Macaca mulatta: one gene and its partners. The protein of the gene in region 4 interacts with the protein of the main gene of each other region in a pairwise test. Links are inferred from orthologs where the notes say so. Each region holds a gene or a part of one and is shown on either strand. Other genes may lie near its edges.

Evidence for each region.
Region 1: the proteins of EHHADH (region 4) and MID1 interact in binary tests that used the Homo sapiens proteins (3 or more experiments, as listed by UniProt). The two-hybrid records come from large-scale screens. The link is inferred for Macaca mulatta from reciprocal best matches to the Homo sapiens genes EHHADH and MID1.
Region 2: the proteins of EHHADH (region 4) and CAT interact in a two-hybrid assay, tested with the Homo sapiens proteins (2 studies listed by BioGRID, with this or other methods). The link is inferred for Macaca mulatta from reciprocal best matches to the Homo sapiens genes EHHADH and CAT.
Region 3: the proteins of EHHADH (region 4) and ZBTB9 interact in binary tests that used the Homo sapiens proteins (3 or more experiments, as listed by UniProt). The two-hybrid records come from large-scale screens. The link is inferred for Macaca mulatta from reciprocal best matches to the Homo sapiens genes EHHADH and ZBTB9.
Region 5: the proteins of EHHADH (region 4) and KCTD9 interact in binary tests that used the Homo sapiens proteins (3 or more experiments, as listed by UniProt). The two-hybrid records come from large-scale screens. The link is inferred for Macaca mulatta from reciprocal best matches to the Homo sapiens genes EHHADH and KCTD9.
Region 6: the proteins of EHHADH (region 4) and SSNA1 interact in binary tests that used the Homo sapiens proteins (3 or more experiments, as listed by UniProt). The two-hybrid records come from large-scale screens. The link is inferred for Macaca mulatta from reciprocal best matches to the Homo sapiens genes EHHADH and SSNA1.
Region 7: the proteins of EHHADH (region 4) and DES interact in binary tests that used the Homo sapiens proteins (3 or more experiments, as listed by UniProt). The two-hybrid records come from large-scale screens. The link is inferred for Macaca mulatta from reciprocal best matches to the Homo sapiens genes EHHADH and DES.

What each region holds. Positions count from the first base shown.
Region 1 is NC_133426.1:10,016,958-10,020,457, reverse strand, and holds part of MID1 (E3 ubiquitin-protein ligase Midline-1), read left to right. Parts: intron 1-986; coding exon 987-1,148; intron 1,149-3,500. UniProt on the Homo sapiens protein: Has E3 ubiquitin ligase activity towards IGBP1, promoting its monoubiquitination, which results in deprotection of the catalytic subunit of protein phosphatase PP2A, and its subsequent degradation by polyubiquitination.
Region 2 is NC_133419.1:30,827,241-30,830,740, reverse strand, and holds part of CAT (catalase), read left to right. Parts: intron 1-702; coding exon 703-807; intron 808-1,395; coding exon 1,396-1,521; intron 1,522-3,500. UniProt on the Homo sapiens protein: Catalyzes the degradation of hydrogen peroxide (H(2)O(2)) generated by peroxisomal oxidases to water and oxygen, thereby protecting cells from the toxic effects of hydrogen peroxide.
Region 3 is NC_133409.1:148,823,512-148,827,637, reverse strand, and holds the start of ZBTB9 (zinc finger and BTB domain-containing protein 9), read left to right. Parts: upstream 1-1,326; 5' UTR 1,327-1,526; exon of another isoform or gene 1,527-1,594; intron 1,595-1,776; 5' UTR 1,777-1,847; coding exon 1,848-3,272; 3' UTR 3,273-4,126. UniProt on the Homo sapiens protein: May be involved in transcriptional regulation.
Region 4 is NC_133407.1:97,345,624-97,348,659, forward strand, and holds the end of EHHADH (peroxisomal bifunctional enzyme), read right to left. Parts: coding exon 2,078-3,036; 3' UTR 501-2,077; downstream 1-500. UniProt on the Homo sapiens protein: Peroxisomal trifunctional enzyme possessing 2-enoyl-CoA hydratase, 3-hydroxyacyl-CoA dehydrogenase, and delta 3, delta 2-enoyl-CoA isomerase activities. Catalyzes two of the four reactions of the long chain fatty acids peroxisomal beta-oxidation pathway.
Region 5 is NC_133413.1:27,191,491-27,194,990, forward strand, and holds part of KCTD9 (BTB/POZ domain-containing protein KCTD9), read right to left. Parts: intron 1,706-3,500; coding exon 1,584-1,705; intron 1-1,583. UniProt on the Homo sapiens protein: Substrate-specific adapter of a BCR (BTB-CUL3-RBX1) E3 ubiquitin-protein ligase complex, which mediates the ubiquitination of target proteins, leading to their degradation by the proteasome.
Region 6 is NC_133420.1:5,265,395-5,268,425, forward strand, and holds SSNA1 (microtubule nucleation factor SSNA1), read right to left. Parts: upstream 1,859-3,031; 5' UTR 1,789-1,858; coding exon 1,737-1,788; intron 1,448-1,736; coding exon 1,248-1,447; intron 723-1,247; coding exon 615-722; 3' UTR 501-614; downstream 1-500. Other genes in the region: ANAPC2 (anaphase-promoting complex subunit 2), read left to right, coding at 1,982-2,098, 2,411-3,031. UniProt on the Homo sapiens protein: Microtubule-binding protein which stabilizes dynamic microtubules by slowing growth and shrinkage at both plus and minus ends and serves as a sensor of microtubule damage, protecting microtubules from the microtubule-severing enzyme SPAST.
Region 7 is NC_133417.1:124,658,791-124,662,777, reverse strand, and holds the start of DES (desmin), read right to left. Parts: upstream 2,801-3,987; 5' UTR 2,678-2,800; coding exon 2,100-2,677; intron 1,046-2,099; coding exon 985-1,045; intron 890-984; coding exon 794-889; intron 646-793; coding exon 484-645; intron 313-483; coding exon 187-312; intron 1-186. UniProt on the Homo sapiens protein: Muscle-specific type III intermediate filament essential for proper muscular structure and function.

The DNA of each region.
Region 1 (3,500 bases), on a different chromosome or scaffold from region 4:
AACAGAGTCAGGAAACTTCTTGACAGCCTGGTCACCAGGGGTTTGGGAAAAGGTTCTATTGGAGTGGAGACTGATGGATGGAAAAAAGAGAGAGGGAAATTGTACCTGATACCAAAGAGATGTTTTCAGCCGTCAACCAGCTGCAAAACAAAATGGGCTTCCTTTTCCTACATATTCTTCCAAGCATTATAAATCCTCGGTCTGCTCCCCAACCCACATCCTACAGGATGCAGCCAGAGCAACAGCCCCACTCCACTCTGGAACCAGTCATCCTAGGGATGCAGCTGGTCAAAAATCCCTGTGGACGCTTTCTCAAGATCTGCACCAGACCCTGAGCTGCCCAGGTGTTGCTGCTCCAGAATTCTCTTAGGAATATGTCTCCTACATCAGTTAGTTACAGCCACACTAATACAAGATCACAAACAATCCTGATGATCATTTCTTAGCTTCCCTGTTGGAGGTTGGTTGGTGTTGGCTGATCTCTGCTTGGTTCACTCCTGCACTGGCTGGGTGTTGCCTGTGTGGTAAAGCTGTTCCCTGTCTCATCCTGTTGGAATGAACAGAGTATCCTAGGAATATTTTCTCCAGAGCAGTGGCAGACACAAAGGGTCAACAGAAATCCTCAAGGCTTTGTCATGCCTACTCTTGCAACTAGCACATTGTCATTTCAGCCTCATCCTATTGACTAAAGTAAGTCACTTGACCAAATTCAAAGCTGTGTGACAGGGAAATATATTGCACCTCTTTAGAAGGAGCACCTGCAAAGTCATTTGGGCCTGGATATACAGGGCAGGGAGAATTTTGGAGACAAAAATGCAATCTGCCACATCTATATTAGTGAAGTCAATTTTTCATATGTGGCTATCAGAACAAAGCACTTCACTTACCAACTCTATTCGAATAAATTGAAATTATTCAACTTAAAATTATGCAAGCATTGCTCCCCTTGTGCCAAAGAACTGCACCATGTCTGATTGGCTTTGCAGGTCTGTGTAACTCGGCTGATAGCTGGATGATAGTACCCAACATCAAGCAGAACCACTACACGGTACACGGTCTGCAGAGCGGCACCAAGTACATCTTCATGGTCAAGGCCATCAACCAGGCGGGCAGCCGCAGCAGTGAGCCTGGGAAGTTGAAGACAAACAGTAAGTGCTGTGAACTCAACAGAGCTGTCATGTCTTATCTGCTCTTCTTTCAGCTGACTCTGTCCCCCTTTCTTTTCCTTTCCTCTCTCTTGGGTATCATTGACAGCCCCCCAAAACAAGTAAAAAGCCAGTGTGGAATAATGGAATTTGCATCAGATACCTCTAGGTTCCAAAACTGATTTCTATTCCTTCACAGCCGTGAGACCATTACTCTCTCTGAACTTGAGTCTTCTCATTTTTTTTTTATTATACTTTAAGTTCTAGGGTACATGTGCACAACGTGCAGGTTTGTTACATATGTATACATGTGCCATGTTAGTGTGCTGCACCCATTAACTGGTAATTTACATTAGGTATATCGCCTAACGCTATCCCTCCCCCCTACCCCCTACCCACAATAGGACCCGGTGTGTGATGATCCCCTTCCTGTGTCCAAGTGATCTCATTGTTCAGTTCCCACCTATGAGTGAGAACATGCGGTATTTGGTTTTCTGTTCTTGTGATAGTTTGCTGAGAATGATGGTTTCCAGCTTCATCCATGTCCCTATAAAGGACACGAACTCATCCTTTTTTATGGCTGCATCATATTCCATGGTGTATATGTGCCACATTTTCTTAATCCAGTCTGTCACTGATGGGCATTTGGGTTGATTCCAAGTCTTTGCTATTGTGAATAGTGCCGCAATAAACATACGTGTGAATGTGTCTTTATAGCAGCATGACTTATAATGCTTTGGGTATATCCCCAGTAATGGGATGGCTGGGTCAAATGGTATTTCTAGTTCTAGATCCTTGAGGAATCGCCACACTGTTTTCCACAATGGTTGAACTAGTTTACAGTCTCACCAACAGTGTAAAACTGTTCCTATTTCTCCACATCCTCTCCAGCACCTGTTGTTTCCTGATTTTTTAATGATTGCCATTCTAACTGGTGTGAGATGGTATCTCATTGTGGTTTTGATTTACATTTCTCTGATGGCCAGTGATGATGAGCATTTTTTCATGTGTCTGTTGGCTGTATGAATGTCTTCTTTTGAGAAGTGTCTGTTCATATCCTTTGCCTACTTTTTGATGGGGTTGTTTGGTTTTTTTCTTGTAAATTTGATTGAGTTCTTTATAGGTTCTGGATATTAGCCCTTTGTCAGATGAGTAGATTGCAAAAATGTTCTCCCATTCTGTAGGTTGCCTGTTCACTCTGATGGTAGTTTCTTTTGCTGTGCAGAAGCTCTTTAGTTACATCCCATTTGTCATGGGATCTTGATCTGGTGGATAAGATTTTGATGTACTGCTGGATTCAGTTTACCAGTATTTTATTGAGGATTTTTGCATCAATGTTCATCAGGGATATTGGTCTAAAATTCTCCTTTTTTGTTGTATCTCTGTCAGGCTTTGGTATCAGGATGATGTTGGCCTTGTAAAATGAGTTAGGGAGGATTCCCTCTTTTTCTATTGATTGGAATAGTTTCAGAAGGAATAGTACCAACTCCTCCTTGTACCTCTGGTAGAATTCGGCTGTGAATCCGTCTGGTCCTGGACTTTTTTTGGTTGGTAGGCTATTAATTATTGCCTCAATTTCAGAGCCTGCTATTGGTCTATTCAGGGATTCAACTTCTTCCTGGTTTAGTCTTGGGAGAGTGTAAGTGTCCAGGAAATTATCCATTTCTTCTAGGTTTTCTAGTTTATTTGCATAGAGGTGTTTATAATATTCTCTGATGGTAGTTTGTATTTGTGTGGGGTTGGTGGTGATATCCCCTTTATCATTTTTTATTGCATCTGTTTGATTATTCTCTCTTTTCTTCTTTATTAGTCTGGCTAGTGGTCTATCAATTTTGTTGATCTTTTCAAAAAACCAGCTCCTGGATTCATTGATTTTTCGGAGGTTTTTTGTGTCTCTGTCTCCTTCAGTTCTGCTCTGATCTTAGTTATTTCTTGCCTTCTGCTAGCTTTTGAATGTGTTTGCTCTTGCTTCTCTAGTTCTTTTAATTGTGATGTTAAGGTGTCAATTTTAGACCTTTCCTGCTTTCTCTTGTGGGCATTTAGTGCTATAAATTTCCCTCTACACACTGCTTTAAATGTGTCCCAGAGATTCTGGTATGTTGTATCTTTGTTCTCATTGGTTTCAAAGAACATCTTTATTTCTGCCTTCATTTCGTTATGTACCCAGTAATCATTCAGGAGCAGGTTGTTCAGTTTCCATGTAGTTGAGTGGTTTTGATTGAGTTTCTTAGTCCTGAGTTCTAGTTTGATTGCACTGTGGTCTGAGAGACAGTTTGTTATAATTTCTGTTCTTTTACATTTGCTGAGGAGTGCTTTACTTCCAACTATGTGGTCAATGTTGGAATAAGTGCGATG
Region 2 (3,500 bases), on a different chromosome or scaffold from region 4:
TAATGGGAAGTGAGTTTAGTTTTCCTTGCAGAACATTGAAGATTAGTAAAAAGAGGGACTTTACTTTGGAAACAAGCAGAGGGTGTCTCTACATGCTCTGAGTCAGCAGGAGGGTGTGTGTGTGTGTGTGTGTGTCCGTGTGTGTGTGTGTGTGTATGCATGCGGGAGGGTGGGTATATTTTTTCCAGGAAGAAATACTATAAATCCCAGCACTTTGAGAGGCCAAGGCAGGCAGATCACTTGAGTCCATGAGTTCAAGACCAGCCTGGGCAACATGGCAAAACCATGTCTCTACAAAAAAATACAAAAATTAGCCAGGTGTGGTGGCTCATGCCTATAGTCCCAGCCACTTGGGAGGCTGAGTTGGGAGGTCTGCTTGAGCCTAGGAGGTCAGTGCTGCAGTGAGCTGTGATCGTGCCACTGCAGTCCAGTCTGTGTGAAAGAGTGAGACCCTGTCTCAAAAAAAAAAAAAAAAAAAAAAAAAAAAGACTAGTTTTGAGTATATTTGAAATACTTTAGGGTATCTTAGATGCCAGTTTTCTATGTTGAGTATATTTCATTTTATGGTTTGGCAGTTTAAAATTCCAGGATTGTATTTAGAGTTATAATCCATAAACCTAGTAATAGGCATGTATAATGCAAGACACCATAATTCCTGTAAACTTAGTTTTTGAATTTTTTTTCTCTCTTTTTTCTATTTAGTTTCCATCTTTTATCCACAGCCAAAAGAGAAATCCTCAGACGCATCTGAAGGATCCGGATATGGTCTGGGACTTCTGGAGCCTACGTCCTGAGTCTCTGCATCAGGTAGGAACCCTTTTTTTCCATTGTCTTCTATCACCTGGGATGCAGTGTTTAATTATGCCTCCTCATAAAGTGTCTCTCCAGTTTTGGCTGTTTTATTGGAATAAGCTTCCTCAGATTTCTTGATCGTGAAGAGTTTTGTAATAACTGGCTTTAATATCCCCCATTCATCAACCTTAAATGGTGATGATAGATAGATAGCAACATTGTCAGTTGATATTTAGCAATAGTAAGGATGAAAGTCTTTAGTACAAGATAAAGCTCTGTATTAGGGAAGTGAGGGGAAAGTAGCACCAAATTTGCTATGAAAATAAATTTTGAATAACAAATTAGGCCAGTTTTCAGGTTGTTTCAGCTTTTTCCTTCATAGAATTTTGAGTCATAGTATTAGTGATTTGCATATCATTTTGGTTTAAAATTTTTCTGTTTGTTATTTTCTACAGGTGAAATAATGGTAACCCTTCCCATGGGAAATAGGCTCGTATGTTTTATGTCATTAAGGGACTTTCTGGAACCTAAGGAGTATCTTAAAAATCTAGGATGTTTTGATTTAAATGAAAACATTTTAGGCTTTATATTTCTGTTCCTTAGGTTTCTTTCTTGTTCAGTGATCGGGGGATTCCAGATGGCCATCGCCACATGAATGGATATGGATCACATACTTTCAAGTTGGTTAACGCAGAAGGAAAGGCGGTTTATTGCAAATTCCATTATAAGGTACGTGTTATACCTTTGGGGCAGAATGTACAAGGCTCCTACCACACACCTCCTTATTTTTCCTGAAGAATTGAGCAAAGATTAAGGCTTCTCCCACTTTTCCCCTCACCTCCCTCCCCAAACATGGGAAGTATTGATCTCACTGATCAGTACTGTGAGTATTTTGTTGGCTTCCACCTGAGGACATAACTTCACACTGTCCTATTAGAACTGTGTGTGGTTCCTCTTTAGTCTCTCTTTTACATGTGGCCAGAGGTGAGGCACATGGCTGCGATCAACAGTTTAAGCTTCCTTTTTCTGGATCCTGTGTCCCTTGTCATAAATATTTAGAAAATGTGCTTCTTTTGTGCTGCTTCTGGTTTAATGTTTCTGGGCTGGCAGCTTCATGTTGAGTACAGCGTTCTCCCTGAAGTGGGAATATCTAAGCTTTTGGTTTGGGCTCAAAGAAGATAGTATAGACCTCTAGGCTAGGCAGAAGGAAATAATTTCCACCTAGTTTAGCCTAGTTTTTTTTTTTTTTTTTTTAAAGATAGGCTCTCGCTCTGTTACTGAGGCTGGAGTGCAGTGGTATGATCGTATCTCACAGTAACTCCTGGGTTGCAGTGAACTCCTGGGCTCAAGGAATCCCCCTGTCTCAGAGTAGCTGAGGCTATAGGCACACACCACCATGCCTGGCTGATTTTAAAATTTTTTTTTTTTTTTTTTTTTTTTGAGACGGAGTCTCGCTCTGTCGCCCGGGCTGGAGTGCAGTGGCCGGATCTCAGCTCACTGCAAGCTCCGCCTCCCGGGTTTACGCCATTCTTCTGCCTCAGCCTCCCAAGTAACTGGGACTACAGGCGCCCGCCATCTCGCCCGGCTAGTTTTTTGTATTTTTTAGTAGAGACGGGGTTTCACCGTGTTCGCCAGGATGGTCTCGATCTCCTGACCTCGTGATCCACCCGTCTCGGCCTCCCAAAGTGCTGGGATTACAGGCTTGAGCCACTGCGCCCGGCCTTAAAATTTCTTTTATAGAGATGGGGTCTTGCTGTGTTGCCCAGGCTGGTCTCAAACTCCTGGCCTCAAGTGCATCCCCAACTTTGGCCTTCCATAGTGTTGGCTTTCCATAGTGTGAGCCACTGTGCCTGGCCCTAGCCTGGCTTTTCTAGAGTTCTTGTTGGAGTTTGGAGTTCAGCTCTAGAAAATAATAAAGTGCCTAGCCCTGAGTCATTATCCTGAGCATAGATACCTTTTAGGGCCCAGAAGAGGGCTAACACCGCTTGGAGCATATCCAAGTCTCACTATCACTTCCAACATCCAATGGCATCTTTCCAGTATCATTTCTTCTAACTTTTTAAGTCATCCATCTATTCACTTAGCATTTATTGAGGTTGTATTATGAACAACGCATATAAGTAAAATCAATTACAAATGTCAGAAAACAAAATTGTACTGTTTTTAAAAATTTGCGTTCATATAGCCAGATCAAATGCGTTACATCTGGGGAGGGTTTTGAGAATGTTTTAATCAACTGAAATATTTTAAAGGGTTCTCTTTTGGTTTAAGCATGGCATTCGTTACAATGAGCAATATTACCAGTGAACCCTGGTGTGTTAGTGATATTCCCAGAGAACTCCCGAGGGCTAGGTAAAAACAAGCCTGAGAACCTCTGTTTCCAAATACTGCTGCTAAGATAAGCAGAAAGAAGTGGGCTCATGACCAGTACTGGACAGTCTCTCTCTTAATGACATCCAAAAGCCCTGTTTTCTTCTATCCTGTTTTCTTCTGTCCTGTTTCCTTCTTTATCTGAACAACTTAATGTAGGCATATCAAACAGGAGAACTATCACCTCTTTTTATCATCATAACTTGAATCTATAATATTTGACAAGGAAACATTTTATGGAACATAAAATTGGCTTGTAATTGCCAAAAGGATCAATGTAGTGTTACTTAGAGTAAGACTAAATGGTTGTCTCTGGGACAGCCAGTCTAGTTGGTAGC
Region 3 (4,126 bases), on a different chromosome or scaffold from region 4:
AAATTTATACTTATATAAAAGTTGTAAATATGTGAAATTTTATCCCTGTGCCCTTTCCCCACCTCAGGCCCTAGCCCTGGACCCTCCCCAACCTTCCTTCTCTCTTCTTTGGCTGTTGTAATTATCTGGGGTTTGTACTGTACATATCCGGGGTGTGTGTGTGTGGGCTGGGGGCAACCCTTCTGTACAGAGCTTCCTGGCCCCCTCCCCCCCCGCCCCTCTGCTTCCCTCCCCACCCACTACCTTAAGGGTAGGGAGATGCTCTTCCTACCTGTTTTATTTTGTTTTCTCGTTCTCCCTCCCCACCCCACTCCCAGCCTTATCTATCCCCCCCTCGCTGTCCCCTTTTCTCCACTCCCAGCCCCATTTCCTTTTTTTCTGGAGTGTGTGGTGAAACAGAAAAAAACATGTTTAATAAACGGAGATTGTTCTTTTATCGCTGTGCCGACTTTCTTAGGCAGGGCTCTCCAGACAGACCTGTACGGTGGTAAGATCTGCTTTCTGAAAGGAAGCTGACAGCCTGAGAGGAAAACCGTACATCCCCACCTGATGCCACACTCTCCTCATAAAATGTCACTCTCCCCTCCCAATGAGAGTTTTTATATTTTAGAGCAGGAGTTTTGCACTGGCCAAACTTCTCCAGTCTCTCCCTCCCCTCACCACTGTGTCACTTAGTCTGAGGCCAGGAACAGCGGCGTTATCTGATAAAAGAATTCATGTATATATCCACATTTATCTCTTTTAAAAATCACCTAGAAGTAAGGTTTCTTTAATTGCTGGTTAAAATGCTCCTGTGCAGAACAGAGGAAAGAACCTGCCTAGTTCCTTAGCAAATCTGAGATCCAGTCCCAGGTCCACTACTATTAACTGAGTGACGCTTCCAGCCCGTTTCCCCCGCCTGGAAACTGAGGACGGCAACCCCCATCCTCGCAGGGCCGGTGGGAGGACACAAGGTGATGTGGGCAAGTGCCAGGCCCACATGGTAAGTGCCCAACTAATCTTGCCCCTCTCAGGACCTACCGGGGGCGGGTGCTACACTTAATCACCGGGAAACGCAGCTTTCCGGGGCGGCTGACGGCCCGCCCCCTCCGACCGGTCTGTTCTCTCCTGGGACCTGGCTCTCGGTCCTCTGTAGCGGCGAGGACTTCGGCAGCTACCCCAGACGCCCGATACGCTGGCACCCTGAGCCAGCGCCCTCCTACTAGCACCGCCCTCCTCGTCTGCGGTAGCCAGTCAACACGAGGCTTGTAGGCTGCCCTTCCTCGATTGGCTACGCCTCTAGCTCCGCCCGCCGCACTTTGCGACGGCGTCCGGCGGGGAGGCGGCGGCTTCCGGCCTGGGACGGAGCTGTAGCGGCACTGTAGCTGCGAGGGCAGCGCCGCGTGTGTAACGGCGGGGGCGTGTCGGCGGGAAGGACAGCCGGGCCGGGACTCCCGGTGTCCGGGTGACCGCGGTTTCCCGGGAGCAGACCTCTGTGGGCACTGTGAGGCGGAACGGAGCGGCGGGGCAGGAGCTGTTCTGGGCAGGTGAAGACAGGCTCGTGGCTGAAGGACCTCCTTCGCATCTTCCACGGGGGCTGGAAGTTACAACCCCGGTTGGTGTTTGGTGGTGGTGGTGGTTTGTTTGTTTTTCTTTCTTGGTGTGCTGGACTGATTTGCAGAAACCGCCACTGACTTAAAAGTTTCCAGTTATTGCTCGTGGGGGGAGGGAGTTGTTTGAAGAGATGTGGCTCCCTTTATCCAGGGCTTCTGTGACCTCCATCTTTTTCCTTTGCAGCCTTCATCCCGCGTAGAGTCTACCCCCAGGCCCCTCTCGTCTTCCCAATTCTTCTCACCTTCGAGGAGGCCATGGAAACCCCAACGCCTTTGCCGCCCGTACCCGCCTCCCCGACCTGCAACCCAGCCCCACGGACAATCCAGATCGAGTTTCCGCAGCATAGCTCATCGCTACTGGAATCTCTGAACCGCCACAGGCTAGAGGGAAAGTTCTGTGATGTGTCCCTCCTGGTGCAGGGCCGGGAACTTAGGGCTCATAAAGCAGTGTTGGCTGCTGCCTCTCCTTACTTCCATGACAAGCTGCTTCTGGGGGATGCACCTCGTCTCACTCTGCCGAGTGTCATTGAAGCCGATGCCTTCGAAGGGCTGCTCCAGCTCATTTATTCAGGGCGTCTCCGCCTACCACTGGATGCTCTTCCTGCTCATCTCCTTGTGGCCAGTGGCCTTCAAATGTGGCAAGTAGTAGATCAGTGCTCAGAGATTCTTAGAGAATTAGAAACTTCAGGTGGTGGAATTTCAGCCCGTGGAGCAAACTCCTACCATGCCCTTCTTTCCACTACATCCTCTACAGGAGGCTGGTGCATTCGCTCTTCGCCTTTCCAGACTCCAGTACAGTCCTCTGCTTCCACTGAAAGCCCTGCTTCCACTGAGAGCCCTGTGGGAGGGGAGGGAAGTGAACTGGGAGAAGTGCTGCAAATTCAGGTAGAAGAAGAAGAGGAGGAGGAGGAAGAAGATGATGATGAGGACCAGGGGTCAGCCACACTCTCTCAGACTCCTCAGCCCCAGAGAGTATCAGGGGTTTTTCCCCGTCCTCATGGACCCCACCCACTGCCCGTGACTGCTACTCCCCGAAAGCTTCCAGAGGGTGAGAGTGCACCAGTTGAGCTTCCTGCCCCTCCTACTGCGCTGCCCCCTAAAATCTTCTACATTAAGCAGGAACCCTTCGAGCCTAAGGAGGAGATATCAGGAAGTGGAACTCAGCCTGGAGGAGCAAAGGAGGAAACCAAAGTGTTTTCTGGAGGGGACACTGAAGGGAATGGGGAGCTAGGGTTCTTGTTGCCTTCAGGGGCAGGGCCAACATCTGGGGGAGGGGGTCCATCCTGGAAACCAGTGGATCTTCATGGGAATGAAATCCTGTCAGGGGGAGGAGGACCTGGGGGAGCAGGCCAGGCTGTTCATGGGCCTGTGAAGCTAGGGGGAACACCCCCTGCAGATGGAAAACGCTTTGGTTGCCTGTGTGGGAAGCGGTTTGCAGTGAAGCCAAAGCGTGACCGGCACATCATGCTGACCTTCAGCCTTCGGCCTTTTGGCTGTGGCGTCTGCAACAAGCGCTTCAAGCTGAAGCACCATCTGACAGAGCACATGAAGACCCATGCTGGAGCCCTGCATGCCTGTCCCCACTGTGGCCGTCGTTTCCGAGTCCATGCCTGTTTTCTCCGCCACCGGGACCTGTGCAAGGGCCAGGGCTGGGCCACTGCCCACTGGACTTACAAGTGACTGCTGAGGCTATATACTAGCTTCTAGAATGAAATAACCACTGCTGCTGATGGGTACTTTTCCCTCACTACCATGGCACACCAGTCATGGATCTTGTAATCATGCCAAGAGAATAGATACATTGATACATTATGGACCTCTTGTTTTAAGATATGGGCCTCTCAGCCTGGCAGATGTGGAAACTCAAATTTCTCATCCCACTCCAGGTTTTGGCTAGCCAACCCTGCAGGAAAGCAGTTTATAGGCCATTCATACTTAAGTTGATCACTTGCCCATGGTGGACATTTTTGTAGTGGTGATGTCCATTAAGGAAACCAGATTTTCAATTATTTAGTGAGAGAAGAATTAGAGCAAAAGACAGTGGTAAATGTTTTATTCCGTCTCCATGAGGAATTAAAGGAGTTGGTCTCCACCTACGGATACATTTGATTTAGAGCTTGAGTAATTCAGAGGCTAAGCTCTAAACTTTTTTCTCTCTCATTGCTGGAATGATTTAAGCAGAATTCCTTTTGTGTACTTTTAAAATTGTATCTTTCCAGGAGCCCCTCAGATTGTACCTTGCTTTCTCACCAGTAGACACCTTTCCAACACTTTTTTAATGTTGTAGTTGAGCACTTTAACAAGTTGAGCATTCCATGTTTCATTCTTAGAACCTTCTTTAATAGAGGGTATTCCCTCAACAGCCTGTGCCTCTGGTCTACCTTTGACCACCACTGGTAACTCATATATTGGTCACAATGACTGGAATGTGACTAGTGATCTCAGGAGATGGCACTGTCCTAAAGTGCTCTCAGGGTGGCACCACTGCTCTCTGAACAAGTTGCCTTGGTCAGAGGGACTCAGGTTTGGGACAG
Region 4 (3,036 bases):
TGCCTCCTGAGTTCAAGCAATTATCCTGCCTCAGCCTCCCAAGTAGCTGGGACTACAGGCACGTGCCACCACACCCGGCTAATTTTGTGTATTTTTAGTAGAGATGGGGTTTCACCGTATTAGCCAGGATGGTCTCGATCTCCTGACCTCATGATCTGCCCGCCTCGGACTCCCAAAATGTTGGGATTACAGATGTGAGCCACTGTGTCCGGCCGGGTCATGATACTTTTTAGAATATGATATGGTACCTCTTCCAAGAAATGTACTCAGATACATGTACACAAACTTTATCATAACATTTCAGGGGTTATTGACTGATAAAATCTATTCATAGACGCTCTGATTTCAAAACCTCAATCTAGAGGCTAGTGTAGGGTGAAAATAAGTTGCAAGAACTCAAAATTAATTCCAGGATTGAAGAAAAAGTTAGTGGGTTTTTTTTTTAACATTAATTTGAAAACAAGTCACTTTGGAGACAAAATTACTACTTTCAGGAATCATTTTCATTGATGTCTTTAATTTCACAAACCAAATTATATAAAATTAAGTAGTATATATTTCAAACGTAATAATTGTGCTCTGTACAATTCAAGGCACACTTGGATTTTTTGTTGGTTTTTTGTTTGCTCTTTAACAACGGAAAACTTATACTCTATTCATTCAAGATTTTTCCATCAGAACTTTCATTTTGTTTGGGTTCACAGGTGAAAATATTGTGAAAGTTCATTTCCACCACAATGAAGGATAACATCTTCAGCCCCATTTATTTACTAACAACTTTATTGAGATACAATTCACATACCATATAATTCACCCATTTAAAATATATAACTCAATAGTTTTTAATATATTGTTATGTGACCATTACCACAATAAGTTTAGACCATTTTCATGAACCATAGAGAAATCCTGTACCTATTAGATGAATCCTGTACTCCCCATCCATCATCCCTAATTCTAGCTTTAGGCAACCACTAATGTACAGGAAGTATTTTTTATAGAGACAGGGTTTTGCTATGTTGCCCAGGCTGGTCTCAAATTTCTGACCTCAAGCAATCCTCCTGCCTCAGCCTCCCAAAGTGCTGGGATTACAGGTGTGAGCCACTGTGCCTGGTCCTTTATTTCTTTTTATGACTGAATAATAGTCCATTGTATGGATATACCAGATTTATCTATTCATTAGTTAATAGACATTTGGGTTGTATCCAACTTTTGGCCATTATGAATAATTCTGCTATAAATATTTGTGTACTAGTTTTTGTATTGACCAGCCCCTTAATTTTTGACTACACAACGCAAAAAGTAAAAAGAGAAGAACTCTTATAACAAAATTATACAAAATATGTTTTGCAACAATTTTAGATTTTTCAAGATTCAACCATTTCCATATGTAACATCACAGAGGCCTGTCATGACAGGGAAACTGGCGTCATTACTCTATCATAGAATTGGGAAATTCTAGAAGGTTAGATGTTCTCTAAGACCCTTCTTACACTAAGTTAACGACTTACTCCTTTCTATTATTTCTTCATAAACAGAAGAGGAAAGACCAGAAGAGGAAAGGCTTGCCATACTAATCTGAGTTCCCTGTGCTGGTTTGAAGTACTCAGTTCCCTTACCAATTTCCAACCATGTTTTTCCTACGACTTCAATGTTTGTTGAGTGTATGTATGATTCATAAGATTTCTGATCAATACTATGTGTGTGACATTGAAAGGAGTCAAAATCAATGTATGACTTAGCTGCATTTATCATTTATTAATTGATGACACATGTATCCAATAATCAAAACATTTGAGAATCTCAACTTATGTCTGAGCCTCTTTCATCAGCGATTATGATATTACATTCACACAAGTTCATGCATTGAATTTATCTGATAAGGACAGATTCAGAGACATAGGAAGCACATTCCTAAAGATTTGACCATTAGAGTCGTCACACAGAAGACTCTACTGATTATTTCTTTTGCTTTGTATTTCAGAACAATCTTACTTTGGATTTTTGATTTAATTTCACTGAAATTCAGTGAGCATTACCTGATGCTAGCATGTGAGGCATAATCTGGAAGGCTGAATCACAAGTTACTGCTAGGGGAGCCTGCCAAGCTTTGCCATTCTTTCAGGGGAGGGTTTCCCTGAGAAGCCAGTTTTTTTAGATAGTCACTGGGCTCCAGTTGGGGAATATCAGGGTTCTGCCTGTAATATTTCTGCAACTTCTCTAGAACTGTGGGCAACCCAACTGTGGAAGCATAGAACATGGGTCCGCCCTTGTGCCTTGGCCATCCATATCCATGTAAATAGACAACATCAATGTGCTCTGGGCTAGTAGCTATCCCTTCTCCCAAGATATGGAATGCTTCATTGATAAGTGAATATAAGCAGCGCTCAAGGATCTCATCCTGGCTAATGGTACGTGGTTCAATGTGATAGGTTTCTCTATACTGTGATAGGAATTTGGAAAGCCAGGGATCGGGTTTGTGAATCCTACCCAATGGCTTGTCATATTGATACCAACCCTTACCTGTCTTCTGGCCAAATCGTCCTAATTCACAGAGCATATCAGGAATTGGGCAGTATCTCCTATTGCCCCTTTTTCGGGCAGGAGTTCCTGGAGGCAATGTAGGTCCAGTAAGACCTTGCCCCTTTCTAGATTTCCAGCCCACATCCAACCCAGCAAGATCGGACACTCTAAAAGGTCCCATTTTAAAACCAAACTCTTCCAGCACCTGATCTACCTCCTCTGGTTTGCTGCCTTCTTCTAACAAGAAATATGTCTGATTGTAATAAGGATTCAACATTCGATTCCCCACAAATCCAAAACAGTTGCCTACAACGACTCCAATCTTTTTAATCTTTTTTGATAAGTTCATAACAGTGGCAATGGTAGTGGGGGAAGAGTATCGGCTGGGAATAACCTCTAACAACTTCATGACATGAGCTGGCGAAAAGAAGTGGGTGCCAATGACCAAGTGAGGACGATCAGTGGAAGAAGCAATCTCATCAACATCCAGGGCTGAAGTATTAGTGCACAAAA
Region 5 (3,500 bases), on a different chromosome or scaffold from region 4:
AAATGGGGGGGAAAATCCCACTACACAAATTATGTGAGTTCAGCTTTCTTATCAACTGAGAATGAATAATTATGCTCAAAGGATAGATTAAAGCCACAGCTAACTCCTCTTTTTTTCTTTACCTTTTTTTTTACCCCTAAATCATTAGCTGTTGTGTGCTTTGGAGATGAAATAAACTGTCATATTAAATCTAGGAAAAATATAGCTGGAAGTAACTCTGCTGTCAGTGTTTACCCACTACAGATCCACCATACACCCAAATGTAAATGGTTGCACATAACCCACAGTTCTAGACAATCAGTGTACATCCTCTTCCTCAACCCATTACACCAGATAACGTATTGTGAACCTAAAACGAATAAGTCGGTATTTTATAGCTCAGAAGGCTTCAGTTATAACCTTCCATTGTAGAAGTTTTTATTTCCTATAGGACATCACAGGACACATTAAATTTTTCTAAGAAGCAGAGTTTGTGCTTGTTAAGGAGAAAGTTAGGTTGATGAGGACCATCATCCAACAATGTGACTCAGTTTTCCTTAGAAACTGAAAGAAGCTGGGAGATACATATTGAAAAACTCGAAATTATCCTAATTTATTTGGATTTAAAATGTAGTATATAGTATTTCCTACTTGTTCACCATGCCAATTTACTGTTTTCAGATTAGTATAAAAATCTGGTTTTTTTTTTCATTAACAAAACCCAATTAGCTGTATGACCTGAGTGAGTCCTCAGCTTCACAGGTAATTCGTTTCCTCGTCTGTAAAATGAAGGGTCTAGAACTGATTCACTGCAAAAGCAGTATACTATATTGAAAGGTCATTTTGATCTGGATTTATACAGAGACTCTGTGTATTATTGTAACTTAAAGCATCATTATCTTCACATCATTGATAAAAAAACTCATGCTCTGCCAATCAAATGGTATAACTCAGGCAAAGCAATTATAACATAACTGGCATAGTCAACACTTAATTTGTGTTCCCTTTACCATCTTCTTTGTTAAGCATCTTCCTGCTCCAAAATACTCTGACCTCGTGAAGATGAAGTAAGGTGAACTACACACTTGTTTTAAAGAGATGAATCTGCCTGGGATATTTAAAGAACAAACAAATAAGTCTATAATTATGGTGGATCACTGGTGATATCTCTACTTAGAATTATATCATATTTATAAAGTTTTCACAAAATCTGGCCTTTGTAATATTTATAAAATGCAAAGCATTTCTTAGGAAATGATTAACAAGCAGGTGCATATAAAAGTGAAGAGATGAATTAGATTTCTAACGTTAAAAACTGCATGTCTTATTAGATCCTGCTGTAGTACCACAAAGAAGAAATTCCTCATAGCCATATATGAACTATGCAGAAAGACTATCAGTATACTGAAATGTATACTAAGGGTTTTCTAGCTGATCAATACAGCTTAAGCCCAAATGATTTAAATTCCAAAGAGCAAATTCTAGGTAATCACTTGCCAAAATCCTGTATTCTTAACAGTGATTAAACTACTGCTTAAGGGAAACAGCATAGCACCAAGAAGTTGAGGCACACTGTTGACAGCTTATAAAAAGGTGAAGGTTACCTGATCAAAGCAATATCATCAATCAGTCCACCTTTCCCATTATATACACTGGTGGCTTTTATGCCGAGTTTACTGCTGGCCACAGAAAGCAAATCAGATAAAGTTCCATATACAGCAACCACCTGTAAATACACCAGATTAATATGAACAACTTATTTAATAAATGTTATCCCAACAAGTTACAAACCATCACAGTAAAACAGGGCTAAAAAGAGTATCATATAAAAGGAGACTTCAACAGGTTCTTAACAGTGCCCCCTTTTCTTCTATGACTCATTTATTCACTTGGTGCCTAAAATTGTCGAATCCTAAACTAGAACATAAGAAATCATCTCTGACCAAAACAATCTACAATCCTAAGGTGCGTTAAATAGCACTCCAGTTGTGAAGTAAGATAGACCCACACTTCAATCTAGAGTCTGACATTTTCTAGCTGTCAACTTGAGTCAACCTATTGATGCTTCTGTTGCTTTAACTAAAAATGAAGAAAATAGTAGCACCTACTTCAGAAGGTTATTACGAATTCATGCATAAGAGCTTGGCAAAGAGACTGAGACCTAGTAAGTCCCTATTATGTTGTCCTTTTATTATTTATTTATTTGAATGGTGCACCCTTAGAATAGGAGTCCACTGGTGCTGTTTATTATATCATTATCTACATAAACTACCATAGAAAATATAACTTCCTACCTCATTTATTTAATTCTTCATTAACTAAGACAGATTTTAGCATCTAACATTAAGAATACAGCAAACAGCTGGGTGACAAGGAATTGATCTGTCCTGCTGTGAATCCAGCATTCTGATATATGTGTAAGATACATGCAACTGTTTAAGCAAGGGGGCTGACAATCTCTACATGTAAGTGAATTTTGTGCCCTGGTCCTAACTGTAACTATGGGTTCCCAGCGGCTGAGTTGTACAGTTGCACCATTATTAGTTATGACCTCTGAAAGTTAGGAATAAAAAGTAGGAGAGGGTCGGGCGCAGTGGTTCAAGCCTGTAATCCCAGCACTTTGTAAGGCTGAGACTGGCAGAGCACTTAAGGACTGGAGTTTGACCAGCCAGACCAAAATGGAGAAACCCTATCTTTACTAAAATACAAAAATCAGTCAGGTGTGGTGGCACATGCCTGTAGCTACTCCAGAGGCTGACGCATGAGAATTGCTTGAACCCGGGAGACAGAGGCTGCAGTGAGCCAAGGTTGCACCACTGCACTCCAGCCTGTGTGACTGAGCAAGCCTCTGTCTCCCCCACAAAAAAAAGAAAAAGAAGTACGTGAAGAGCTAAACATGAAGCACAATCATCTAGCTCATGGATGTCCCAAGATCATATGTCAAGATGCCATATGAAGTGAGCACTAAGGCTGGTCCTCTGTCCACCAGTGACTGGAATACAGTGGAGAGTTTCTAGTTAAATAAATAAAGTAAATGGAGGCCATAGAAAAAGCTGCTTGATAACAAAGAGTGTGCAGTTTTTCAAAAGCAGAGTACTCAGATTCCAACTTTTTTCTCTTGGATCAGAAGGATGAAAGAGAGAAGAGTGCTGGAGCATTTTGGAAAGTGTTGAAGGCGAGAAAAATGTAAGCGGAACCAAGTTCATTATTAAAAATAATGCATAACCCAACTGTCTATAAGCAGGTAATTGTATAAATATGGTATAGACATACAACTGAATATTATTCAGCAATAAGAAACAATGAGGCCAGGTACAGTGGCTGATGCCTGTAATCCCAGCACTTTGAGAGGCTGAGGCAGGTGGATCGCTTCGAGACCCACCTGGCCAACATGGTGAAACATGGTCTTTACAAAAAAAAAATACAAAAAGTAGCAAAGATGGTGGCACATCCCTGTAGTCTCAGCTGCTTGGGAGGCCAAGGTGGGAGGATGACCTGAGCCTGCCAAGTCAAGGCTGCAG
Region 6 (3,031 bases), on a different chromosome or scaffold from region 4:
GGCCTGGGCAGGGTGGGCACCCTCAGCGGTGTCCCTGAGGCTAGTTGGGCAGTCATAGGGAGACCACTCCAGACGCCTCCTCCCTCCTTTCCCAAGGGGGAGCCTCAGGCTCTGGCTCTGCGGGTGTCTGGCAGCCCCACACTGTTGACACGGGCAAGCAGCAGGCTGGCACGGACCTTTACAAAGATAATCTTTATTGATAATCACAGGCCACAGGGGTGAGCCCTGAGGTTTGGGTTCTGGGGTGAAGGAGAACCCCTGTCCCCTGCCCTGGGCCTCTGCTGGCTGAGGAGGGACAAGCTGAGGGGGCCCCCATGGTGCTCAGACAACCAGGGCCTCCCCAGCAGGGCAGGAGTGTGGGTGCCACAGAGACAGGCCCTTTGCAGAGCTGACCTGGAACCCACCATCCCCACAGCCCGTGTGAGCACGAAGCCCCTGGGTGGGCTGTGCCCTGGCTTGTCAATGATGCCAGTAGAGGCTGGCAGCCGCCCCTCTCGGCACCGGGGACAGTGAGGGAAGGCAGCTGCTGCTGTGAAGAACAAAGACGCTCTGAGGACAGACTTGTCGGGGCTGAGCTGAGGGGCGCACAGAGGCAGGCCCTGCCCGTGGTCTGGTCAGCTGTCCCTGCCACCGCTACTTTTCTGGTCTGAGGCTGTAGCCTTGGTCAGGTTCCCAGCTTCCCTCTTGAGGACGCTGAGCAAAGTCTGGGAGCTCTCCAGAATCTGGGGCCAGAGAAGTGAGAAAGTTGTTACTGTTCACCTGCTGGGAAGTTCCTAAGCCCCAGCTGTCCTCACACTCAGGTTCTGGGACCTGGCTGTGGGTGCTGTAGCCAAGGGATCCTGTGCGGGGGAAGGCGGAAGCCCAAGGGGACTGGCAGACGGGGTAACAGGGCCCTCTTCCCTCCTGAATCTGACCCGGAACACTTCCTCCCCACCCTCAAAGCCAGGCTGGGTTAGCACTGGCCCAAGACGTGGCTCTTCACACTCTAAGCAAAAAGAACCACATGGCTAGCGAGAACCGGATGAAGACCAGGACCCAGGATGCCCCAGGTCCCCCAGACAGCCCCACGGTCACTCCCGCAGCAGCCTGGGTTCCTCAATGGGCCTGGCCACGCTGCTCCTGCCCGACATGCCAGCGAGGCACAGACTGCCCACAGCTGGGAGCCCCAGACGGTCCTGACGCCCTGCCGCGGCTACACCCCTGCCGCGGCTATCCCCTGATGCTCCGCCTGGCCTCCCGAGCTCCACCTTGAGGTAGGCGGCCTCCGTCTCCGCGATGGTCCGGTCGAACTCGTTGCGAGAGGCAATCTTGCGTGCCAGGTTCTCGTTGACGCGGGCCAGCTTCTCCGTCAGCTGCCTCACCTCATTCTGCAGCCGCTGCTTCTCGTCCTCCTCCTCCTGGATCTGCCGGCACAGCTCTTCCCGCTTCTGGCACAGCTCCTCTATGCCTGGGGGGCCGGGAGGGGCGGGGCTGTGGGCCCAGGGCAGGAGCGCGGCGGCGGAGGGCGGGCCTCCTTCCACCCGAGGAAGCCAGAGTCAGGCACCACCCCCGAGCACCCGGCGCGGGGCCTGCGAGCCAACGAGGGCTCGGGGCCACGGACACCCAGCCCCCGGCACGGAGGGCTCTGCTCAGCTGCGCGATGCCCGCAACTAGGCGGGTCCAGGGGCACCCCGCTGCGAGCCGGGAACCCGGCCCTGCGGCCCTCCCGACCTCCCCGTCCCGGCTGCGCCGCTCACACTTGACCAGCTCGTTGTTGTAGTTCTGCAGCGCCGCGCCCTGCTGGGTCATGGTCTACGCCGCCCGGGGCCCCGCCACCCCAACCGACGCGGAACCAGCGCTGTCCGCGCCTGCGCACGACTCCCTGACGGCGCGCCGAACTACGCGTCATCGCTGAGCGCCTTGTGCGCGTCATGGCTGCGCGTGCAGACTTGCGTCATCGCTTTGCGCCGTGCCGAGGGGATCTCGGAGCCGGTGGCTGCAGATGGCGGCGGCAGTTGTGGTGGCGGAGGGGGACAGCGACTCCCGGCCCGGACAGGAGTTGTTAGTGGCCTGGAATACCGTGAGCACCGGCCTGGTGCCGCCAGCTGCGCTGGGGCTGGTGAGGCCTGGGAAGAGAGCGGCGGCCCCGCGCGGAGTTTCCGGGACCCTATGCACTTTGGGGCGGCCACCTTCGGGTTCATACAGCTCTGTCCGTCATCCGCCTCTGGCCTGTCCTGCCGCTTTCCACCGCCATTCCACTTCATTTCGTTCAGCTCCGCTGGCAGCCCTTCCCTAGTTTCGGCCCAACGTCCGGACACCACGGACAGGGGGCAGCGGAGTTTTTGCAGCCTACCCCTCAGCTTCTTCCCTTCCCCGCCTCTCCCCACCTCTATGTTGTGTTCCCCTCGCTTCACGGTTTTCTGCGCTCCAGGTGTCTTCCCGGACCAGCGGTGCAGTCCCGCCAAAGGAAGAGGAGCTCCGGGCGGCGGTGGAGGTTCTGAGGGGCCACGGCCTGCACTCGGTCCTGGAGGAGTGGTTCGTAGAGGTGCTGCAGAACGATCTGCAGGCCAACATCTCCCCTGAGTTCTGGAATGCCATCTCCCAATGCGAGAACTCTACGGATGAGCCCCAGTGCCTTCTGCTGCTCCTTGACGCTTTTGGCCTGCTGGAGAGCCGCCTGGATCCCTACCTGCGTAGCCTAGAGCTGCTGGAGAAATGGACTCGCCTGGGCTTGCTGATGGGCACTGGTGCTCAGGGGCTGCGAGAAAAAGTCCACACTATGTTGCGCGGAGTCTTGTTCTTTAGTACCCCCAGAACCTTCCAAGAGATGATCCAGCGTCTGTATGGGTGCTTCTTGAGAGTCTATATGCAGAGTAAGAGGAAGGGGGAAGGGGGCACAGACCCGGAACTGGAGGGGGAGCTGGACAGCCGGTATGCCCGTCGCCGGTACTACCGGCTCCTGCAGAGCCCGCTGTGCGCAGGGTGCAGCAGTGACAAGCAACAGTGCTGGTGTCGCCAGGCTCTGGAGCAGTTCCATCAGCTCAGCCAGGTC
Region 7 (3,987 bases), on a different chromosome or scaffold from region 4:
CAGATGCCCCAGGAACCCCTGATTCTTTAGCATCCAACTGGAATCCACTTGTCTGGTTTTATCCCTATTGTAGATTTAAGTAGATGAAGGCCCAGAGAGGGTCTATGATGGGCCCAAGGTCACAAAGTGAGGGTGTGAACTGCAGACAGGAAGGGGCAGGGCCTGGCCAGGTGGGTAGGGACTCACAGTGCCCTTGAGGGCATCAATCTCGCAGGTGTAGGACTGGATCTGGTGTCGGTATTCCATCATCTCCTGCTTGGCCTGGCGCAGGGCATCGTTGTTCTTGTTGGCTGCCTGGGTCAGGTCTGACACCTAAGGGCGGAGAAAGGAGCCCAAAAATGAGGAGGATGCAGGGCACAGGTAGGGATGAGCAAGGGAGCATGGAGCCTCTGGGCTCTCCTCCCATGGATGATGCCACAGGCAGCACATCCAAGCTGGGGCTCAGGGTGACAGAGATGCCAGTCCCTGGGTGAGGCCACCCACCTTCGACTTGTACCACTCCTCAGCTTCAGAAATGTTCTTAGCCGCGATAGTCTCATACTGAGCCCGGATGTCCCTGAGGGCGGCAGTGAGGTCTGGCTTAGACATGTCCATCTCCACCTGGACCTGCTGTTCCTGAAGCTGAGCCTGCAACTCACGGATCTCCTGTAGGGCATGGCTGGGCTTCAGTCCCCTCTCAGGGCCCACACAGCACCCTCACACCCCTATTCCCAGCCAGAGCCTCACCCCAGCCCCACTTTCCGGCTGCTTTCCCCATGGCCCAGTGACCCCAGGAAGAGGGGCCAAGGCATACCTCTTCGTGCACTTTCTTAAGGAACGCGATCTCCTCGTTGAGAGATTCAATTCTGCGCTCCAGGTCAATGCGAGCTAGAGTAGCTGCATCCACGTCCTGGGAGAGGCCAAGCAAGAAGGACATAGTCACCACCACCCAGGTGGGGTAGAGCAAAGCCAGAGGCCATGCGAGGGGAAAAGAAGGGCACTCACCGCTCGGAAGGCAGCCAAATTGTTCTCTGCTTCTTCTTTCAACTGAATCTCCTCCTGCAGCCTGGGTGGGACAGACAGACAGACAGACAGTTGTGGGCGATAAAGCTGGCAGTGGAAACGACTGGCCGGGTGCTGACCAGGGAGTAGGTATGGGACAGAGCGGGAGGGCCTGGCTGCTGGGTAGACACAGGAGAGAAAGGGAGTGGAGAGGCCCCACCCATCCAGGGAGGGCACAGGAAGTGGCCCAATCTCTGCCCAGGAGCCACACCCTTGAAGTCTATGTCCCCACCAGATTGTGTGACCTCCCTGGGGTTAGAAACTGTGTCTATTTTATCCGCCTCTGTGTTGCTGGTTCCCAGCTCCAGCCTGGCCAATATAACTGCTCAATTAATATTTATGACTTTGGTGGCAGGAGGGTGACTCTGCTCACTTGGCCTGTCAGAAGTGGGACCAACAGATACGCTATACTTGCTGCCCTTTTCGTTTCAGGAGCCTGGTGAGGCCTACAGTCAGGTCCTCCCAAGCTCTCTGAGAGCTGTGGCCCCCACCTACTCCCTTTTTCTCCAGCCTGTCTATCCACCTTGTAAAAACACACAGTCTCAGCAAGTCCCCAGGGTCAAGCTCCCCACTCCACCCTGCCTCCCCAGGGCCTCATCACAGCTGAGCTGAGAGCTGTTGCTTGGACTCTGGGCCCTTGCCCTGCTTTCCCTGTCTCCTATCAGCCTCCCTTCTCCCTCTGGCTACACTGCCCTCTGGGCTTCCTGCAGCCCTTCCTCTGCCCATCAACTACCTGACCCCATAAACATCGCCCCAGCATCTTAAAATGCTTTTTAAGGGGGCTGCCCAAATGGCACCGGGTCCCCTAAATTCTCCCATATCCACCCCCTGATCTATGTCCCCAAGAAAACTCCTATGCAAGATGGGATCGCAGGGGGAGAGACCTGGAGGTCACGGCCCCTTGAAACACACGGGTGGAGGACCCTTTCCCCGCGTGGGGCAGGAGAGGGTCCCGGACCCCGGGAGAAGGCATGTGCTGACAGCGGGACCCCAGCCCCCAGGCCTAGCCCCCTGTGCCCCGCCCGCGGAAAGAGGAGTCTGGGGCGCCGGGCCCTCACTTGGCCTTGAGCCGCTGCAGGTCGTCGAGCAGGTTGTCGCGCTCGACGTCGACGCGGGCGCGCTGGTTAGTGAGCACCTCCACCTGGCGCCGCAGCTCGCGCAGCTCCTCCTCGTAGAGCTCGGCCACTCGCGTTGGCTCGCGGCCCTTGAGCCGGTTCACCTCGGCTGCGAGCGCCGCGTTCTGCTGCTCCAGGAAGCGCACCTTCTCGATGTAGTTGGCGAAGCGGTCGTTGAGTTCCTGCAGCTCCACCTTCTCGTTGGTGCGCGTGGTCAGAAACTCCTGGTTCACCGCGTCGGCCAGAGAGAAGTCCAGCAGCTCGCCCGCGCCATAGGAGGAGGGCGCGCGAGTGGTCCCCAGCCGGCTGGCCCGCAGCGACCCCAGGCCCCCGGCCCCGCCCGACGTGCGCGACACCTGGTACACGCGGGACGTCACCGAGCTGGAGGAGCCCTTAGAGCCGAAGCCCGCCCGCGGGAACACGGGCGAGCTCAGCGGGGAGCCGAGCGGGAAGCTCGGAGCCCCGCCGAAGGTGCGGCGGTAGGAGGACACGCGCTGGCTGGACGAGTAGGCCTGGCTCATGGTGGTGGCGCGGGCGAGGCTGGCGGGCACACGGAGGAGGCGGCGGGCAGGCGGCCGGCCGGAGAGTGGATGCGGCGAGGGAAGACAGGGCCCCCAGCCGTCTGCACTATTTGTATCCCTCCTGACATCAGCCCCCGCTGCCCCTCCCCTGACAGCTGCAGGATCCCGCTGTCCTGCCAGGAAAGGGCGGCCCCTGGCCGTGGGGGCGGGGAGGCCAGCTACCCCGCAAGAGGCCTGCGCCCCTGAGTCAGCCAGTGGGGGTCCTGTGACAGGCAGGCCTGCCAATCCTTCGCCAGGGCAGCAAGCATGCCTGCAGTCCCCAGGCGGGCCTCTTTCAGCCCTGGTTATCTCCTCGTCCTGGCCGGGGAGGGGGTCAGGGGAGACAGCAGAAGAGAGGCTTCCCTTTAGTTTGAGGGCCTCCTTTTTGGTCAAGGAGAGACTTTGGGTCATTTCTTAAAGGGTCAAGGCCTGCTTCCAGAAAGGCCCCAAACCACCTTGTTCCTAAACATTGTCTTGAAGTTGAAGAGGTTTGGGAGGTCTCAGGCAAAGACCAGCCAGGCTGGAGGGTGGGGTCTCTAGGCAGGCAGGGAGGGCCGGGAGATGCCTGGCAGGCAGAGGGATCCTGGCCAAAGCCTGCCATGTATATCTGCAGGCGAGCTGGCCCTGAGCCTCAGTTTCCCTCTGGACTGGTACAGGCCCTCTTCCTCCCCCCTACTGTGGATGGCGAGGCCTCAAGTTTATAAACAGTAGGGTGATTTCCAGAAAGGGTCTGATGAGCTTTCAGTTTCCAATTGCTATGTCCACTCCCACCCCCGCACAGACTTTGTCTGGCTCCTGCCCCCAGGGTCCCCCACCCCCTCCCTGATTCATCCCCCTACTCACACCCCCCACGCCCACACACACCAGGGGTTTGTGTTTTGTCAGGAGCTGCATGTCAACCCAACCATCTTCCTGGCAGCAACAGCTGCCAACCCCAAATACCAGAGTGAGTATTTATAGAGGAGAACGCATCGGCTGGGAAACAAGGCACAGGAGAGAAGCTGTGGGGGGCAGGGGGTACCTGAGGAGGCATGGATGGGCGTCAGATAATCAAGGAAGACTAGGGTGACAGCCCCAATCACTTCCCACCCCCTATAATGCTCCAGGGCCCCCCCCCCGCCCACAAAAATGGAGCCCCACAGAGGGCCTGCCCAACCTCCAAAGCCCCCTCCTTAGTACAGGGCACTTGCTGACCCCTAAGGACATCCACCATTCTCCATGGGCACTGGCTGTGTCTCTACACCTCCACCTGGCACTCCAGGCCCCTCTTG